Linked DNA regions of Styela clava. Each later gene encodes a partner of the first gene's protein in a complex. Links are inferred from orthologs where the notes say so. Each region holds a gene or a part of one and is shown on either strand. Other genes may lie near its edges.

Region 1 (10,654 bases):
TATTTAGTTATGCTCGTTAATTGTGATCGTTAATGTATACGCTATGCCTTTTAAAAATTCTAAACATGTAGGCCCAAAGAATAAAAGCAAATGGTCAACTCTTATCCTTCATCTCTGCTTGAATTTCCTTCGAAATAGTAAAAAATCACTCATGTTCGCTCACGTCGGTACAACAAATGAATAAACGGCAGTTCGCGAAATTGACGGAAGTAGCGTCAACCGCTATTGTTACGTAACAAGGTAGACACTACGTACCAGAAAGTAAACGAAATAGAAAGATTTATTATAAATACAATATATTAAATCAATCACATGTTAGTTATGTTAAACAAAATTCATTAAATGTTCGGGGCGCACTAGTGAAGACCGCTGGATCAAACGATAAATGCTGTTTTACCCAACACCAGTTTGGTCCACAAAGTGGTTCACTTATCCGCTGCTCTTCACGGTCTTCTACACATCAAACTCGGCGGTTGGAGCAGCGTGCTGAGCATTAGGAATACGCTTGCTATCGCATAATCATGCACGTGAGGATTCCTACCGTATGGTGGTTCGCTTAACCTCTGGCCGATCACGGCCTCCTCCACCGTGGCTATAAGATAAGTCTTTCCCCCGGGATAAATATGAAAATCCTAAAACATGAAAGGCCACACGTCTGATTAATCAACCGAATACTCCCATTTCTTACTAAGAGGCGTTGGTTCGTCATATCATTGAGAATACAAGCAAAAATCTTATTTCAAGCATTTTATACTTGTTATTAGGTACAGATGCAAGCATTGTGGTGCAACAGGAGATAAAGCACACACAGACTCGTACTGCCCAACAATCGCACAAGACAAAAGGAGCATGAAGTCGGTCCTAACGACGTTGAAGACATCATCAGGAAAATACCGCAAATAAGACTACAACACCTTTAGCATTTTTCACATATATCTTACTTTAATCTCTCCCCGCATTACTACGACCAGTTGTGTCTAAAAACAAAAAGGTCTCACTCTCGTGTTCGATAATCTCCACCAATCACAACAGTCCATCTACTAATCGCGTACCCCACATGGACTGGTAACCCGACCAGAGGCTTCCAGGGTTCATCACTCAATTAAGTCGTCTAATCGGGTTTCCTCTTCCCTGGATAAATATGTAAATCCTATTCTACCAGAATGATCCAAATGATAGCCGCTCTAATTTTCCTCAAATTTACCAGATGTTGTCAAGCAAAGGGTAAATCAAATTGTTAATGGTATTAGTATTACCTACAATAACTTTTTTAACTAACATTTTTCAAGTGTCTGTCTATCTTTAATTTAACTTACTATAGTCAAATTTCACTTTTCGTTCATTATATTCTGTGCATTTCTGAGTATATTCAATCATTCACTGCATATCTTCAAAAGCAAAGCATTAAAAAATTTGCTTAATTAATGATTTTCAATTCTAACATTACTGTAACTCTTCACATTTGCAAATTGAATACATCAACACTTAAAAGGGCAAGAATGTTCCTGTGGAAGCTATTTTACCATACATTACCAGGTTATTCCACCTGACCTAGGTGTAAAAGAAAAAATAGAAATGCACATTTGGAAAGAAGCATTGACTGGTAACTGAAATATAACCTCGCTTCCAACTTAGGTAGCAGCAAACATGAAATGTTGTTTCCCTAAACAGTCAAGTAAAACATAACATGATTGGTCAAACAATGAAAGTAGTAAACAATGCTGACTGGTACAATGAGGAGGAATCTTGAATGGCAAAATGAATACAGGAACCCCATATGGGAGAGAATACATAAAACGAACAGATACTATGAATCGCCATATAAAATCTCAACATTTGCAGGCAAATTATTGTTACAAGAGTGGTAATTTACTTTAAGCCATGTTGATACAGTAATGAAGTCGTTCAGACAGGACATATTTAGTGATTAGTTGTGGAGAGCCTCGCCCAATGGCGAAAAATGAAATTATTTCTTAACCATCAAATCTGTTCGGATTCTGCAAAGAGGGACACAACAAATGACAACTTTCGAGGAAACCAAATGAACTAGTAAAAATAAACAGTATTCATTTCATTGGGCCTTTTTCTTTTGTGATAGGGACCGATGTAGCTCCATGACCTTTATTTCAAAGCTATCCATGAGTTGGCCATTCTCATCAAAATATTCTCCAGCAGATTTTGTCAGTTCTGCTTTTCGCTCTTCACCTTGTGGGTCTTTAACGACTATTTGCAGTGTGTAGTTTTCATCATACCTGTTATTTACATATCTCATGTAGTTTAATCAAGAAATTCTGATATCATAATTGTATTATACACAATGATGGTTTTTAACTGAGCAACACTAAGGCTTACTCGAAATAGTTTTTATATTATAATAAGTTGATTAGTAATCAGCGGAAAAAATTGACAACATCCATTTGCACTTTTCATCACCTTTCCCAAAAAGGGCCACATATCTATCAACAAATTTGAGATAAAATTGTAATCTAACTTTATGAGAACTGTACTCGAACCTACATATTCAGAATAGACAGGAAATTAACACAACAAGAACATACAAATGTACACTAGAATGGAATATTTGGTTCTGAGATCCACTTCACTTGTTCCTACAATACAGATGTCCATCAGTTATATCTTGCAATGTATATATAATAAATACTACTCACTTCGGCATTGTCGATGATAGAGTCCAGACAATGTCTGGATCTACACCTGCTATATCCTTCTCTCTTGCAAGCAAAAATACATTCTTCTCAACAAAGTTGGCATAAGCTGTTAAGACTCCCATAAGGACGAAATATGAGACCTAAAATGTGTCAAGTGAAAACTGACATATAATGTATCAAAACTTCTATTATTATAGAGAGAAATGACCAAATGGCAGCAATATTTTAGTAAAACAATAAATAAATTATATATACTCTAAAATTCCGGAAAACAAGTCTAAGAACTTACCAATATTATAAGCTTTCAAACACAAATATTCCTCTTACTTCTGGTATTGTCCATATCCATAAATTTAGGATCTTAATATTCTATTTTTCTATCAAATTCATTTAGAATTGGACATGACTCACTGATTTACCAATTAAAAAAAGAAAAAAATTCAGAATTCTTAAAATAAATCTTTTTGAAATAAGTTAATTTCAAATTTTGTATGAACCAAATTATCAGGATATCCCCAACTGTTTTTTTCGAGTACCTAAAGCTTAATAAAAACGTGCTTACCACACAAAGTATAATAACAGGCCTTGATGCTGGGAAAGGATGAAGATAATCCCAAAGTAAGGCAAATAATGCAAATAAAACAGCAGTTGTACATATTGCCAGGCGAGTATCAATTAACTTGAAGTCTTCTTGATAACCAAGGTTGTCGAGGATTATCTGAATGCAAAATACGAATTACTAGTTCATTTTAATGAGTTTAGGTATTTGAGAGCATTGGTGATTAGAAAAAAATGTTCGCGTGGTAGACTACCGTGGTACACTTAAATTGGAATATATAAAATGTACAGGCCTCACAATTTTCTTAAAAACATGGCTGGAAGCTTGGAAATATAAATCTGAAACAATTAATTGTTTCATTATAAGATTTTAAGAAATAGACGGTCAAACTGGAAATTTAATTAAGGAAGAGAACAAACCTTTTTAGCAGCATCATCCAATGCAATTCTCACTGCATTATGGTCCCACTTTTCCACCTTGAATGGTTTTTCCTCCTATGAATATATGAATAATAAAAAGTGAGCATGGCATAATTTATACATTGTAGAATGTCAGTCAAACATTGTCGTCGTCGTGAGAATGTAGTAAGGAAAAAAAATTTTGCAAAATTTCATGCATGATCTCTGTGCAGCTGTATGCTGATTCCACGTTAACATCCATGTGATATTACAAAAACCTTGAATTGACTAACCGGGTAACGTAAATATATGATTTTATGTAGTCTACCCAAGTGTTAGAAATCAGATAGAACAATTTATCGATTGATAAATTGAGTTCTTTCGATTCAATCTTACACATTTTGGGAAAATATCGAACCCAAAATTCTGCGAGTAATTATCCAAACAACACCGTACTGCGCAGATTGCTATGCAAGAATATGTTTAGTAGGATTTAGGATAGGATTTACATATTTATCCCGGGGAGAGGAAAGCCGATAAGACGGCTTATCCATATGGCGAACCACGGCCTCTCGTCCGGTTACCATTCCAAGTCGGGTATGGGATTAGTTATATTGTTTGTTTTCGGAAGCATGGACTTGGTGGTGGAGGAAGCCGTAACCGACCAGCGGTTACGTGAACCACCCAACGACGGCGAGGAGTCCAGAAATCCTCTCGCACATAACTATCCCTACATGGGATTCGAACCTGCGAACCAACGCAGAGTAATTAGAGTTGCGGTGGCGAGCGTATTCCTAATGCTTAGCCCGTCTACAGGGGTGGTGACTCCTCTACAGCCCATGGGCCGGGGCCCATCTAATTGGGCCACATGGGCCGTGGCCCATCAAGCTATGGGCCGCGGTCCATCAAAAAAAATTCAATTATCTTGCCAAAATTTTCAATTATATTCGAACCAAAAAAAAATCGCGGGATGCCAGTATGCCACCAAACCTTTTTCTTACAATAAGCCTTTAAATAAAAATAAAGCAAAATACCAAGCTACAGAAAAGGATACACCTGAAGTTTGTGTAGTCTACCAGGTTAGGGTTAGGACAAAATTTTGTTCAGATTTTTCACATTATAGGCCTAGTTCTATTATGAGTTCGGGGAGTGGGTAGGATTTACATATTTATTAGTTTTTATTATTTTATCCCTTTACAAAAATTGATGGGCCGAGGCCGATTTCGATGGGCCGTGGCCCCGGCCCATGGGCCGTAGAGGAGTCACCACTTCCACTCTAGCCCGTTGAGCCACAGCGCCGCGCCATACGATACCGTACCATACCCATCATAATCACCCACCTGCTTGCTATCGTCGTTAGCCATTATTTCTTCAGACTATCGATACGCTGCTACAATAGAATATTCAAAATCAGGACGAGAGAACGGGAGGAACTTTCTAAAGAGTAATCTACTTGCTACAAAACAATTAAATGCACAAACATATGTCGCCGTCAGACTCCCACACCATTCATGCGTGACAGGCACGTGTCCTAAGTTCATTGAACCCGAGACATATATTGAAAAGGCGAAAAAACCTACAAAAAATAGAGGAAGGTGCATTTGCTTCGAGTCACAAACAAGGGTGCAAGTTTCAAACAAACATTTTGAGTAGGTTTTCGTATCAGAACGATTTTCTATTTTCATTAATTTTACAAATACTTAAATTTGGGAGACTCATACCTTTACAACGAAAAAAGATGGAGTAATATTTCCAAGCCATTGGAAATAAGATACGGTAACTTTAGTTAAAGGATGCAACTCCTCCATGCACATATCGACACTAGTCAACAACTGTTTTTTTTCAATAGTTCAAATTAGGGCTCAGACGTGCTAAGCGTCAGGAATACGCTTGTCCCCGCACATCTGATTACCCTGCAGGTTCGCATCCCTCGTGACTCTTTCGCGTATATAGGATAGGATAGGATTTACATATTTATCCCGGGGGAGAGGAAAGCCGATAAGACGGCTTATCCATATGGCGAACCACGGCCTCTCGTCCGGTTACCATTCCAAGTCGGGTATGGGATTAGTTTTACTGTATTGTTTGTTTTCGGAAGCATGGACTTGGTGGTGGAGGAAGCCGTAACCGACCAGCGGTTACGTGAACCACCCAACGACGGCGAGGAGTCCAGCAATCCTCTCGCACATAACCATCCCTGCATAGGATTCGAACCTGCGAACCCACGCAGAGTAATTAGAGGTGCGGTGGCGAGCGTATTCCTAACGCTTAGCCCGTTGAGCCACACCGCCGCGCCTGGTATTGGGAAGCTGGCACAGTCCACCCAAAGTGGAACTCTCACCAAACTTTTCAGAACTTCGCAAAGTGACGGACGATGGTCTTCTCCCTTCAAAATTTATCCATCCAAAAAACATACTCACCCTTCATATTTTAGTTTCCTAACTATACCCTACCTCATCGTACCCCATTTTCACAATGTGCGTTTTATCCAAGACTTGGAGCTTGTACCCCTATAGAGGACTTGCACGGGTCACGTGACCTTGTTACTGGACGGCAATAAAACAAAAACGTCCATTTGGCTCCTGTCAGTTGCAAGTCGGATTATACGTTTCCGTTTTGTTTGGCTGTTGAAAATGGTTATTTCGTATTGTTCCGCTGGCTGTACGTATAGTATAGACAACGAAATGGAACTTCAGCTATATTCCACTGTTTTCAAAAGATCCGGAACGTCGCGCAATGTGGATATCATCTATTGGCAGGACTGCTTGGTGTCAAGTCCAGAAGCCATCTTACTCGTGTTTCACTGTTTGCGGACAGCACTTCGTTGATGGTGAGTCATGATGTGCCGTTATCAATTTTTTTAAATATTCATAAGCTCCCTCATTTCAATGGAAAGCAGATGACAAACTACTGTTATTGGTAGGCTTAGGCCTACTTGCAGACTTGACTCGTGTAAGATATTAATCAATAATTGCCATAAGGTATTGTTTCCCTAGTTAGCAGGTAATCTATTAGTAATTGTTAAAATTTGAATAGATAACTAAAGTTTAATGCCAGTGCTAATGCAAAAAATAACCAGAATTTAATTGAATTCTCTATCTGAGAATACGCTCGCCACCGCATCTCTGATCCCCATGGGCAGATGGGAGTTTCACAGGTTCCAATCCCATGCGGGGATAGTTATGTGCGAGGGGACGAGGAGATTGAGCTCCTCCCACTGAGGGTGGTTCACACGACCGCTGGGCGATTACGACATACCCCACCATTAAGTCCATGCTTCTAAAACAAATAACTGGCTAACTAATCCCGACATAGAATGGTAATCGTACGATGTTGCACCTTGCAATCTGTCCCCAACCACAGATAAATTCTATCCTAAAAACTACCCACATTGGTAGGCATAGTTGCGTTTTAAATTGAAAGAACTCTTCATTAATGGTCAGAAGGTGTTGTCTGATTATTTTGGTAGTTAGCAGGTAATTTATTACTGATCTGATACACAAACTTGGCACTGTCAAATGATGATTAGTGTTTAATTTATTTTCAGGAAAAAGGGAAGATAACCCATTATCAGCTGCTTACAGGTCCCATCGATATTTGAATTTTCGCCATCCCCAGAGAAGAAGAGAATAGTTCGAAAAAGGAGGATTTTGAAGAAAGGAAAAAGGCAGGACCATTTCAACAAATTCTGTTAACTTGTATGCGTTGCAATATTAATTCGCAGTTGTTAGCATAAACATTTAATGTGTCTTTCGACTAGACCTACCACACTTAAAAAAAAACGCCCACACCCCTTTTCACTAGAACCATAATACTGTAAAATATTTGATAGAAATTACCCCCGAGGCATCATATCTTTCATTTGAAAGGGCTGTGGAGGCAGATACATTTTTTACTCTAAATTATGGAATGTTACTTCCAGGTTATCTTATCCTTGCTTATAGATATCTTGAGGTTAGTGACTCCAACTGACCCATGCATGCCACACTGAAAATTCTCTTGTGTACCCATAAAATAAGGCTGTTGGAGCCTTCAGACCTTGAAAACAGTCGAATCTGAGCACGATGGATTCATGTGAAACACATAATATGCATTTAGAGGCAAAAATATCCCATCCTGAGCAGCACCGATCCACAACATCCTGCCTATGGAATCAAAACATTAGACAAATTGGTGTACTGTGCGCATTCACAAATTTTTGCGAATCAAGTGTGCCTTTTGACTAAAGAAATTGTTTTTTGAAAATACATTTTTGATGTGCTTTATTTTTCAAATATAATTTATAATTACTGTAAAGTGTGTGATACATTTGGTACCATGAATACTATTTGCAAATTAGCTTGGGTTACACCCCTCTCAAATAAAAGTTTAGACTCTTAAGTCGTATCTCATAATATTCTTTAAACAAAAGGTTGCGGCTAGCTGGCTACCCATCAGAATTTCCTTTCAGATCACAAAGTCGCAATATTACGCCTCGCTTAAGTTTCATTGGCAACTGTATCTGGTTGTAGTATCGGTGTCCATCGTTAGACTGAAACCTTCACGACCAGACCCACCGAAACAATTTTTTTTTCTTGATAGGGTCGTCTTGAAGTTGATTTCGTTAAAGCACAATGGACACTTTATCTCCACCAATCCACAGTAATGACAAGTTACTTTGTCATTACGATAAGCATCAATAAATGGATACTGAGGATGTATTATCAAGTCACGCAAGCTGAGGTCTTGTGCCACTGTGGTCTTGTTGCAACTTATACTTTGCCATCCATCTATTCCATGGTCGCACCCATATCTGTAAGATAATGGATACAGATAAGAGTTTTCATAAAATCTAACGATCAAGGAGTGTGAAATTTAGGGCTGGGCATTTCGATTTCAGAATCGAATCGAATAATTTTTTCGAATCGAATCTCGAATACTTGAAAATATAAAATTGTAAGCGACTTTATCATAGTAATTGGTCCTCTCAACAAATGAATTATTGAAGACATAGAATAAATCACTCAGATAGATTACTGAGCGTTCACACAGAATAACAAACACGTTTTATCAATAACTCACTACAGAAAATAGTTATATGTTAGAATTTCGTTGAAAAAATATGACTTCAATGAAAAAAAAATTGGGGAATTCACCTCGACCATTAGCGGAAAGATAAAAACAAGATGGCGGCGATTCGAAATTCCAGTCTGAACCGATTCGAATAATTTACTATTCGATTCGAATGGAAATGCCCAGCCCGGGTAAAATTTATGTCCATATCCCACCACAGCCACTAGTCGTAAATGAATTTGATTCCGGGTAGGTAGCATATCTTTTTTACCAATGACAATAAAAAGACATTTTGAATCAGTTGTACAAGCACCATTAGGATAGGATTTATCTGGGGGGGGGGGGGGGGAGCCAGTTATTTGTTTTCAGAAGCATGGACTTGGATGGTGGGGAATGGTCGTAACCGATCAGCGGCCATGTGAACCACCCTCGGTGGGAGTGGAGCTGCAATCCTCTAGCACATAACTATCCCCGCATGGGATTGAAACCTGTGAAACTACCAGGGTGATCAGAGATGCGGTGGCGAGCGTATTCCTAGATGGCGAATTAAATTGAATTCTGGTTATTTTTTGCATGACCAGTGGTGTTAAACTTTAGTTATATATTCAACCTTTCACACCTAGTAATAGATTACCTGCTAATCAGGAAACAATACCTTCTGTCAGACCTTACAGCAGTACAGCAATTGATTATTAATTCCTTACTGTCTTACACAAGTCAAGTCTGCAACTGCAAGTAGGCCCACGCCTAGGCCTACTGATAACAGTAGTTTGTCATCTGCTTTCCATTGAAATGAGGGAGCTTGTGAATATTTAAAGAAATTGATAACGGCACACTATCACCACATTATCACTCACCATCAACGAAGTGCTGTCCGCAAACAGTGAAACACAAGTAAGATGGCTTCTGGACTTGACACCAAGCAGTTCTGCCAATAGGCAATAGATGATATCCACATTGCGCGACGTTCAGGATCTTTTGAAATCAGTGGAATATTACTGAAGATCCATTTCGTCCATGTCTATACTATACGTACAGCCAACAGAACAACGAAATAACCATTTTCAACAACCAAACAAAACGCAAACGTATAATCCGACTTGCAACTGACAGGAGCCAAATGGACGTTTTTGTTTTATTGCCGTCCAGTAACAATGTCACGTGACCCGTGCAAGTCCTCTATATGTATATCGCGCATTCTCATAATTAATCCATGAAAAGCACATAACGGTTAAATTGGAGATATGATGGCATTTGCAGTATTATCATTAACATTCGACTTTTACTACAATAATGCGCTACCAAACTGCTTTGACGACATACTTGCCAAAAATACCTTCATCCGAAGAAGTAATTCCAATTTGTTCCTACCCTTCATGAGTAAATCTGTGGGCCATGTCCTATACTGGGCCTAGACTACGGAATTCTTTCCTCTTGAATTTGAAGATGTTGAAAGTTTAAAACCCAAAAAATCAAGTCAAGACTTAGGCTACTTCAACGACTAACATACCGATTTCGTCTGTATTTCAATAAATGGGTAAAACTTATATCGGCTAGGCATTTATTCTTTTTACCGAGTACAAAATGTATTGTTTCAATCTTTCTCTGTTTTATTAAATTTTACGTCTTTCTCTGATTTAAAAATAGGGGAATCGCCCTATAATCGCATCCACCGTGTCGCAATTACAGTAAGTAAATTCGCGACAACTGTGCATTTTATTTGCGATCAATTCATGGTACACGGCACCGCGGGTTCGATGCGGGTACGGTACCGGTACCGGTACCGGTACCGGTAACTGTCTGCTAGCTTTACCTAGGTAGATGGCCAATATGTTATGTTCAGATGTTTAATTTTTAACAAATGTTAGACTTGTCCCGTTGTAGGTAACCTTAGACCAGTACGGAAACCTAGTAAACAGATTGGGTGGTTCACGTAACCGCTGGTCGGTTACGGCTTCCTCCACCACCAAGTCCAT
Region 2 (10,588 bases), about 4.0 Mb from region 1:
TGAAAGAGAAGGCGGAGGAACTGCAACATGACAGCGCAATGCATCAAGATAAAGGTCGAAATTTACAATAGAGTGATTATTGGTTGTCATTCACACATGTACCCAAATGAATGCTTTGAATATATATTTCAAGCCAGAGATAAGGTTTCTATTTGTTTCTTTTGGGTTAGGAGGCAGGACAGCCAGCTTGTAGTGTTCAAAATATACTGCCTTCTACATATGTTATACAGATCACTTTTTCATTCTTGATGTCCTGACTATCAACCAAATATCTATTGGGTCAGCTTGTAGTGTTTAAGCCTTTTCTACATAAGTTATGCAGACCACTTTCTCTTTCTTGAGTCGGCTTATAAGGTGGGCTTTTGCTTTTAGTGTTCAGAATATACTGCACTGTATATACAAGTTATGCAAACCACTTCGACTTTCTCGATGCCATAATTATCTAGCCCAGCGGTGGGCAACCCCTGGCACGTGAGCCCGTTTATTCAGCACACGAAAGAGGCCTCAGAAACGAGATCATTCTCCGTTAGATAAAAAGTTTCGAGACTCTTAATTATCTGATGAAACTGTGTTCGTTTATTCATTATGTATCGCTTTTTTAACAATCCGTTCTTTAAACTCATTTTATGGCTACAAAGAAATATGTTATGACGTAACAAATAAATGAGCTTTAGAGAAATTTTGTCGAGAACAAAGCAGCATTCTTTGGCTACTTTGTTACGTAATATGCCCTTTTTCTTCATTTGGTTAGAGTTACTTGCTAACTTACTGTTATGAATGGATTTCGAAAGAAATATAAGCGATTAGGGAAGGGAATACAAGAGAGAAGTGCAGAAAACAAACCATTGCGAGATTGGGATGCCATTCCCAAAAAATTTTCGTGTCTTATAAACTATGCAACTGCATTACTTTCCGTGTTTTTATCTACATATGCTTGTGAATATCTTGTTCCCAGTCATGAACTTTATTAAGTCTCATAATAGGAGTAGCATGAAAGATGAAACCAGTAGTTCATGTACTCCTTTGAAAGTTACAAAATATAAACCCAATGTAAAATTTCTATCAGTGGTAATGCAACAGCAGAAGTCTCACTGATATAGAATAAGCAAAGTAATCGAATCTATTCCGAATAGCAAATATGTCTGTAGGTCTACATGTTTAAAAGGTTTATTATTGTGTATTTTTGCTTTGAAAGTAGCAAAGCATTGTTTTTAATTTTGGTCGGCACGCGGGAGAATTTTATCGTTCAATTTAGCCGATTTGGCAAGCAAGCCGAAAAAGGTTGCCCACCCCTGATCTAGCCAAATAGCTATTGCCAGGCTCTGAGCAAAACATGGGCACGATCTGTTTCTTTCACTATTGCTGACATCTCGATTCCTCACAACAACAAAAAAGACCAATATTATACAGTTGCACCATCCGGCAAGAAGACTTATATATAATATAAGACACAATAAAATAAAGCAGTCACTGCATAAATCTGGACTTCACATTCATTAGCATATAATATTCCATTTCCTGTTCTATGTAAGGTAGACGAAAATTCTTCTTTTCTCGTGCCCAAATGGCAATGAAGATATTTTTATTTTTGCTTCTTCTTGCTTCCCTTTTGTTGTTGTTGTTGGGATTGTGAAGATTCCATCTCTGGTTGAGGCTTCTGCCACTTGATCGGATTTCTCCTATACATGGGCCAAGGTGGCAATGTTAACTGAAATAAAAAACTTTAGATGAATTATCAAATCTATATGATGGAAGGAACTTATTTGTGTACAACGGTAGGAGTCCTGGTAAATTCTGTAACAGCGTTGAGAATTAATATGCTTCTCATTGACAATAAAGACTTTATCTTGCAGTGATCGACATTAAAACTGCCTATTTAGAGGTATTGATGCACAGGCTGCACTTGATTGATTAAACTTTTTCACCCAATTTAATGTGTAAAATACATGGAAAATTTTTCTGGTAGATAGCATAAATTTGATATACATTTACATATATACATTTACATAAGATTCCTTTGATACATGATGTTCAGCAAGGGTTCTTAGTTTTCCATTCGGGCCGTACTAAATTTTTTACACCCATTTGCACATATGTACTCATGTGCACAATCATACCAGGCTGTACTATTTTATTTTAGCTTATTTCCTCTTACCAAACATCCCAGGGCACACCCAGCTGCCAGTATGTACATCATATACGACATCTGTTGAAACATGTATCCCACAATAAAGCCGATGACCTGCAAAACAAACCAAATGTCACTCGTGCATATAAGCATTGGATTTTCCATTATCTTGACAATGCTGTAAGAACTGAACCTCTCGTCCGGTTACTCAATAAAGAATGTAAATTTTCAACTACTTAAACATGGTGGATTGGGCATCAACTAAATAAGAAGTTAAACAACTTTACGCCATCAAATTCAGCAATCTTATTGCGTATGTATGATCATGCTCCTTCGAATTTGACTCTTTGTGGGGTCAAATTATTATTGTGTGGGTACGTATCCAAGCAGTTGAGATTAATAAAATGAAAGTGCTTTCAGAAAATACTCACTCCAAATGTCACTGCAAGAACCTGGAACAGTTGTTCGGACAGTTTTTGTCCTTGATAATCCTGAAAGCAAATATATATTGTAAATGGAAATACATTAAAGCTTTATATAAGTCTGCACTCAAATCAATGGCTGAGTGGATTATGATCTCTGAATTTGGGAAGCTTTGATGAAAAATAGCTGTATCTGTGTAGCCTATACCTACTCCCACATTCTGACATTACCATAACTCTTCTGGCATGTTGTACACACACAGACACACTCAATAACCAGATGATTTACCTTCCATGAGTTATTGTCATACATAACTTAATCCATTAACAAATTCCTCATTTTACTTACAAGTGAAATATTAAATATGGGACTTACCATATGTGTCGGAATGCTGTCGAATAATCCCATTTTGAATGTTATTTCTAATCTAATTCACGAATACGGACTAAAAATGATTTAAAAAAGAATAAGAGTAAACACGTCGTATCATACCGTATATATTTGCGCGCACTACTGCACTACTAAAGTAAAACAAGGCGCTTCAACCCTACGAACGCAAATAACAAACTTGCTTCCACAGTTTCCAGGTTTCAGACATGAGGCACACATCATACATGCATAAATCTTTAAAGTCTGGAATATGATTGACAGTTCGACCATCAATGTACGCATTGGAACTTTGTCAAAAAATATTAGGAAAATGCGTTTTTAGATCTGTAAATGAAGCGAATTTTGTGCAAAAAAAAATATTTCAGGATGTAAATTTGATTTTTAATATTTTTTCCTATATTATTTCCACAAATTGGTATTTGTCACAATTTTTTTAGCGAATTTCTGGCAACAGATGTGTAATGGCCACGTTCGCCTCAAATCTGAATACTGTACTGTTAGTGGCTTAATCGGTACTTTACCAAAACGTTTTTCTGGCGTATTATACGTTTTTAATTTTTTCATATTTTTAATATAGTTGGTGTCAAAACACTTTATACAAGTACGGGCACATCTGAATGATTATTTGCATGGATGATTAGTACTGTACCTCTTCACACAAACCATTAATTTAAAAATTCCGTCGAAAAGACACAGCGATTGCCCTACATTCTTCATATAATTATTCTGTCGTATCGAATCTTATTTATCCATTTGCCTAAATAAATACTCTCCCTGAACTGCGTTGGGGTTGCAATGTAGTGTATGTCTACCAGTAAATTTGATCTTTGACCGTGATATATACTCTTTGACACAGTCACGTGATCGAGAGGAGTACTGAAGAACAGCAACAAATTCCAAGTCGATCGCTAGGTGTTGTGAGTTCGTCGCTGTCTTCAAGGTTTCGTGTGATTCGTTTTTGGTAATGATGTAAACGTTGTATCTCTTCGGACATTCAAGAGAAACATGGCTTCACTAATACGACATTCATCATTTTGGGGAGTTTCTCGGTGGTTTAGTTCAAGGGTTTGCGCAAGAACGTTGCATGTGAATCACACAGCGGAAACTGACAAAAAGCCTTCAGTAACCGAACCTTCCCAAGCAGCGCAGCCGTTACGACAAGAAATTTCAAAGTTGATGCATGCACCAGACAGAGCTGAATATTTTACAGCTAGGGTTGATGATCTTATTGGTCACATCCGTTCCAACACATTATGGCCTATGACTTTTGGACTAGCCTGCTGTGCTGTGGAGATGATGCATTTTGCTGCCCCAAGGTGAATCTTTGTTTTAAACAAATAATTGTTTTCTTACACCAGTGTATAAATCCAATACTTTTCGATGAATAATGTAAAATTCGACATATAATTATGATTGTTGTAGTCCTTTTTCGTTTCTAGATTCGCCACCTTAGCCTTTCAACATTTCTCGTTGTATTACTTTCTAACACATTTGTTGAAAAAAATGATGCAAGACTATTATGTTTTATATATTTTGGGATGTTTCAGACTTGAAAGTAATTGTATATGATACAGGCCTAACAGTATAAATGCAACGGAAATACCTATCTTGGTATTGTTGTTGATTTGATAGGCGCGGTGGTGTGGCTCAACGGGCTAAGCGTTAGGAATACGCTCGCCACCGCACCTCTAATTACTCTGCATGGGTTCGCAGGTTCGAATCCCATGCAGGGATGGTTATGTGCGAGAGGATTGCTGGACTCCTCGCCGTCGTTGGGTGGTTCACGTAACCGCTGGTCGGTTACGGCTTCCTCCACCACCAAGTCCATGCTTCCGAAAACAAACAATATAACTAATCCCATACCCGACTTGGAATGGTAACCGGACGAGAGGCCGTGGTTCGCCATATGGATAAGCCGTCTTATCGGCTTTCCTCTCCCCTGGGATAAATATGTAAATCCTATCCTATCCTATTTTCAAAAGAAGACTGTACAAATAAGTGTGACTGTGTACTGTATCTATATACAGATATAATGGATTGACTCGATTAAAACCATTTTCAACATTATGTTTATGAAAATGAAGTTTTCTTCAAGACATTCACAAATTAGAATCTGCTTGACGTTGATGAATACTAAATAACCAAAATTACATTCCGCCCAATTTGTGTATTGTCTGTTCTATTAATCAATTTGTATTTCAGGTACGACATGGATCGATTCGGTGTTGTATTTAGAGCAAGCCCTCGCCAAGTTGATCTTATGATTGTGGCTGGAACTTTAACAAATAAGATGGCACCTGCATTACGCATGGTATATGATCAAATGCCTGATCCCAAATGGGTACTATCGATGGGAAGTTGTGCCAATGGTGGAGGGTATTATCATTACGCTTATTCTGTTGTAAGGGGTTGTGATAGAATCGTGCCAGTAGATATTTACGTTCCCGGATGTCCACCAAGTGCGGAAGCCCTTCTATACGGAATTCTTCAACTGCAGAAGAAAATTAAAAGAACAAGAAATGTCTCGAGATGGTATCGTAGTAGGCGTCCCTACATCAAAACTCGTACAGAAATGCTTGAGAAAGTTACTTCGGACAGCTCAACTGGAGAAGTTGTCAAACAATAAAAAATATCATTTTGTGCTCTTGCTTTGTTCAAAATTATCTCACTCTAATATTTCTTTTATGTCCATTAAAAAGTTGAATCTAAATCTTAACCATGGACTTGTTGAAATTACACTTATAGATGAAATTAACAGCCGGATTGAAGTTAGTTGCAGTATAGATTTATAGAAGTATTCTCATTCTCAGGGTTCAGCTTGTAAGCCAGGCATGATTTACTTTTTGTGGGCGAAAGCTACATATATATGATCTGTGATGGATTGTTAACAATGTTCCTACGCTGCAAATTCATTCATTTGTGACATATCTAGTTTTGCATTCAAACTGTGAAAGCAGCAAGAGATGACCTCAGGATGGTTTAAAATAATTGCTTCTCTACTAATAATATTTAATTTGGGTTTCATCAGTATATTGCAGCAAATCAAACAACTACTTAGAAATGCAAAAGACTTTACTCTGTGCCTGCCTGGCTCATTCTAATCTAAGCAATAGTGTCTGCTCTTGGATTATTTCTAGTATGGATTGCAACAGCAGCATCTCTATTGCAATAGCTAAATGCTTGTTGCACATGGCATGATTGTTTAATTTAGTTAAAACGGTCTGTTGTAAGCAGGGCTGGGGCGCCGGAGCTGGAGTCGGAGTTGGAGCCAAGCTTTTCATAACAGATGGAGCTGGAGTCGGAGCCGGAGCTACCAAAAATTTAGTGGCTCCAGGCTCCAGCTCCTAAATATCTCATTTTTTGTTTTTCAAATTTATAATTTTTTTCTGATAGCGTTACAAATGATAAAATCTTTTCTTTTCAGCTTATAATTCATTTTAAAAATTTTAGTTCCTAATATTTTTTGAAAAGTTTCCAGTTATTCTGTATGTTTGAAAGTTTAGTATCAAAATTTGAAGCGGTTCGCTTTTATCAAAATCTTGATTCTCATTTCCACTAAGCTGCAATTTTTCATGATTGCGGTCAAGCTCAAAAACCCTAATGGCCAGGGATTTTCGAAGAAGTGATTTTGGAATTTCCATGTAACATATTATGATTTTTTCGTGGCGTTGAATATCCAATCCATTTCAAATGTCTTCAATTCTGTTCAACGTATCTCGAGATTGAGTCGTTTCACGACAAAAGAAAGGTTTAGCTACTCCAAAATGCACCGCAGCAGTCACCTATCATAAAAATGTATGGCAAAGTGCCCCATTACGGTATATCTTGTTTTGATCCATAACATAGCATGTTCTGGAGAAAAGTCTCATCAATTTCCGTTGTTATTTTTTGAATATATAAAAAGTATATCGCGAGTAAGATTGATTGCGTTTAGATTTATTTTAGTGACTGTATAATTTTCAAAGTCAACCGGTAAATAATATGTCGTAGGCAAAAAAAATAATGAGATTAACAAGGCATTTTTTTTTAGCTGTTGGGAGTCTCCGAGAACAAAGTTTATAGTGTTTTCCGTTTCATTTTAGTATCTTATAATAACTCACCATATTTGTGAGAAAACGAGTTATTACATAATCATCGGTGATGAAATTCTAAGATAAATAAAGAAGTCAATACGCAAACCAAATTTTCCTGATTAAAAAGCGACATTAGAAAATACTAAAAATAAAACAGAAAACACCATAAGTTTTGCTTTAGAATGGCCCACGACAGATTTTATTTGGCTGCATGATTGCCAGTTATGTTGAACACAATTAAATTAAAATAAAAAGACAGTTATTATGGGTTAAATATTATGTGGTAGAAAAAGTCATTATGAGCTATTTTACCGAATGCGCAAACGCTGCGACCATTCCAGAAGCCGATTTTCCTTCCCGTCTTATTGTGGGGTTATATGTAAAACCCTTATATGCGGGGTAGACCGATTCGCCCGGAAATACACCATATAATAACTCTCAGTGGATTCACAAGTTACATGCAGGAACAAAAAGGAATTATCATGACACCGACTTGAAGGGTGTTTACAGCCAAAATAACATGCCACACTTAGAAAACAATTAGCAAAATGCGTTATTGGGCTGCACTGCCAGCTCCGGCATTAAAAAAATGAAGCTCCGGAGCCGGAGTTGGAGCTAAAGATTGAATACACTGCGACGCTGGAGCCGGAGCCATCATGATTTCGAACCAGCTCCCCAGCCCTGGTTGTAAGAAACCCCATTGGTTCGGGTAACATTTTGTGATAAATTAATGTCTGCTGTCAACTAGATTTTTTTTTATACATTGTTCGTAAAAAACATGTCACAAGTACAACACATTGAATTAAACATTTACAATCATGCTACAAAAAATACATTAACTAACAAATATAAGTACAACAGAGTGATAGCTAGATAATGTATGGGGGAACAGAAAGAACAAATGGGAATTTCATCCATCCAATGATTGAAAAATATTAGACAAATGAAGTAATAAATATTACGACTTGAACAATGGCAGCACAATTTCATCCCAATTTTTCGACCAAGTTGATTGACGAAACATTTTCAAATTATTTCTCATATTTGTTAAAGTTTGTTGGTTTCGAGGAAAGCCGTCTAGCAGTTCACATAGCTGATCATGCAGAGTATTTTCATTGTTAAAAATTACACCATTTATGTTGTCTTGCACCAACTCCTCAAGACAGTTAAACCCTATTGCAGCAACTGGCACACCACAACCGAACATGTCTACGACTTTCATTGGCAAGTCAAGGCCACTGGATGAAGTATGTAGGCATACTCCAAGATCAGCACTCCCAATTAATAAGGGATAATCTTCTGCTGTCAACCATGGTGTGACTATTTGAACGTGTTTCCAGTCAATTTTACTAATTTCATTCAAATAATATTTCTTCATCGGCCCTTTGCCAGTGATAGCACATATAACATCCGGTAAATTTTCATTATTCAATTTTGTTTTATCGTACATTTTTAGAGCATTTAGTAATATGGAAAAATCTTCATCTTCTGTCCAACTTGTACTGCTTACGATGAAAGCAGGACGATTATCTCTTGCTGTGACACTCCCATCTTTTGAAATAGTACAAAATGTGCTATCGTCATTAGGGCTAAAACCAAACTCAGGATATTCATGTTTCAATTTTGAGAAAAGATCATGCTTCTCATTGATACTCAATGGCTTGAAGATTTCAGGTGGTCTATCATAAAGTACAATGGCATGTATGTGCCAGTTATCCTCCAGGTCTTTCTGCATTGCTTTGGTGACACATATATCACTATACACCAGCTGACCAACAACTTTTTCATACCAATGTGCCAGTCTGACCAATTTATGATTTTTTCCCAAACTCATACCAAGTATAGTATAACCATAATTATGCCAGTCAATGATGACTTTGCTGCCGTTAAAAATCCCAAATAGCCAGCATATGAACATACAAGGGATGCAGGGCGGATTTTGCATGAAAATATATTCAGATGCACCAACTTTAAAGAGCAGCTTTGTGCTGAGTATTAAAGACTGCATAATCACTTTAACGAAGTAGGCAAATAATCGAGGAAAGTAATTAGAAAAAGTATCTTTTGTGAGGCTATGTAATACAATTCGTTTGCTGTCTAGAATCTTTTGACTCGGGGTTGAGTCACCATAACCAACAATGTCCACATGAAAACCATGTTTTTCTAATGACAAAGCATGATATTGCATTCGTGGACTTCGTCCTATATCACCAAGAACAACAACTGTAACTTTTGACATTTTCTTGCTTGAAACTTGCCATCTGCGACATAAGATAACAATGATAAATAATAGAAGTATACGACACAGGAAGGTGATAGGCACCAGAATGAATGTATTTATACTCGAGAGTAGATAATGTGTTGTCGGATCCATTTTACAAATGATTCTGCACACTATACAGTTAGGCCTATATCTGTATATGGAATTAATGAGGCAATTTTAACTGTAAAGAAAATAAATAATAGAGAGGAGATAACCAATACCTGAATACTGCAATAGAGACCAGCAGGTGGTTAGATTATCGTATCTTTGAAATTCTGATTTATTATAAATGGGGGGTAAAGGGAATACCGGTACCGGTACCGTCTCACATTAGTCTGTCATTTTAGTTACATAGATAACGTTAGTCTATCATAAATGGAAAAAGAGGTGGCGGATACCTGGATAGGGTTTACATATTTATCAATAGGAAAGGAAAGCCGATAAGACGGCTTAACCATATAGCGAACCCACGCAGAGTACCGTAATCCAGTAATCTGAGGTTCAGTGGCAAACATATTTGGTATTCCTAACGCTTAGCACAATGAGCCAAACGCCTCCTCTAGGTGGTTCGGTACTTACAGGCTTAGGAAAGAGTCAGACAGGCGACAGGAAGTAGGACAAGACTATTTCTAATGACTTGCTCAATTCTACATCAACTACTGTACCGGTACGTACCACATTATTTACGCTTTGTACTACATGACAAAAGGCTGACTGTGGACTAGTGAACCACCTGACTAGATTACTATATTTTGCTGCTTTTGCCCGACAGCTCAGATCCATTGAGGTGTATATAGACTATATGCTATAACACGAATTCTACAAACAAAACCGACCTTTGACCCCCGAAAATTTTCCTTCTATGAACCTTTCCCCAACCTCTGACCCACGGAAAATTTTTGGGGCTATGAGTTGGCGCCTGTAAAATGGGGCATTTGTTTCAAACCATCATTAGGATTCATCGCACAAAATATTCTGTTTGTTAAAAGTACCGGTAAATAGAGCCCAAAAACGCGAAAACGAGGTAATGTTTACGACCACTCTTGAAAATCTGTCTGAGTGAGGACAGTGTCTGAGCGGATGCAAAAAGGGAGCATTGTAACGTCATTTTTTCCATCTTGCTGATTGGCCAATGTCACGAAGTAAACAAGGAAGTCGATGCTCGGGGAAAGCTCCATACTTTACTATTATAAAATTTTCGGGGCTTATTTTAAGAGTGGTAGCGTGAGTTGGCGCCTGTAAAATAGGATATTTGTTCTAAAGTCTAAACCATCATTATAATTCATTGCATACAATAAACTGTTTTTTCAA

Evidence for each region.
Region 2: signal peptidase complex subunit 2-like (region 1) and signal peptidase complex subunit 1-like share a complex: the UniProt entries of both Drosophila melanogaster proteins name them as parts of the signal peptidase complex. The link is inferred for Styela clava from reciprocal best matches to the Drosophila melanogaster genes Spase25 and Spase12.

The regions. Positions count from the first base shown.
Region 1 is NC_135256.1:9,465,212-9,475,865, forward strand, and holds signal peptidase complex subunit 2-like, read right to left. Parts: upstream 5,143-10,654; 5' UTR 4,991-5,142; coding exon 4,967-4,990; intron 3,723-4,966; coding exon 3,648-3,722; intron 3,388-3,647; coding exon 3,232-3,387; intron 2,810-3,231; coding exon 2,670-2,809; intron 2,253-2,669; coding exon 2,072-2,252; 3' UTR 1,327-2,071; downstream 1-1,326. Other genes in the region: uncharacterized protein LOC120329088, read left to right, coding at 765-903. UniProt on the Drosophila melanogaster protein: Component of the signal peptidase complex (SPC) which catalyzes the cleavage of N-terminal signal sequences from nascent proteins as they are translocated into the lumen of the endoplasmic reticulum.
Region 2 is NC_135256.1:13,506,738-13,517,325, forward strand, and holds signal peptidase complex subunit 1-like, read right to left. Parts: upstream 3,085-10,588; 5' UTR 2,960-3,084; coding exon 2,927-2,959; intron 2,620-2,926; coding exon 2,560-2,619; intron 2,243-2,559; coding exon 2,156-2,242; intron 1,709-2,155; coding exon 1,583-1,708; 3' UTR 1,403-1,582; downstream 1-1,402. Other genes in the region: NADH-quinone oxidoreductase subunit B-like, read left to right, coding at 3,947-4,257, 5,144-5,567; chitobiosyldiphosphodolichol beta-mannosyltransferase-like, read right to left, coding at 7,973-9,388. UniProt on the Drosophila melanogaster protein: Component of the signal peptidase complex (SPC) which catalyzes the cleavage of N-terminal signal sequences from nascent proteins as they are translocated into the lumen of the endoplasmic reticulum.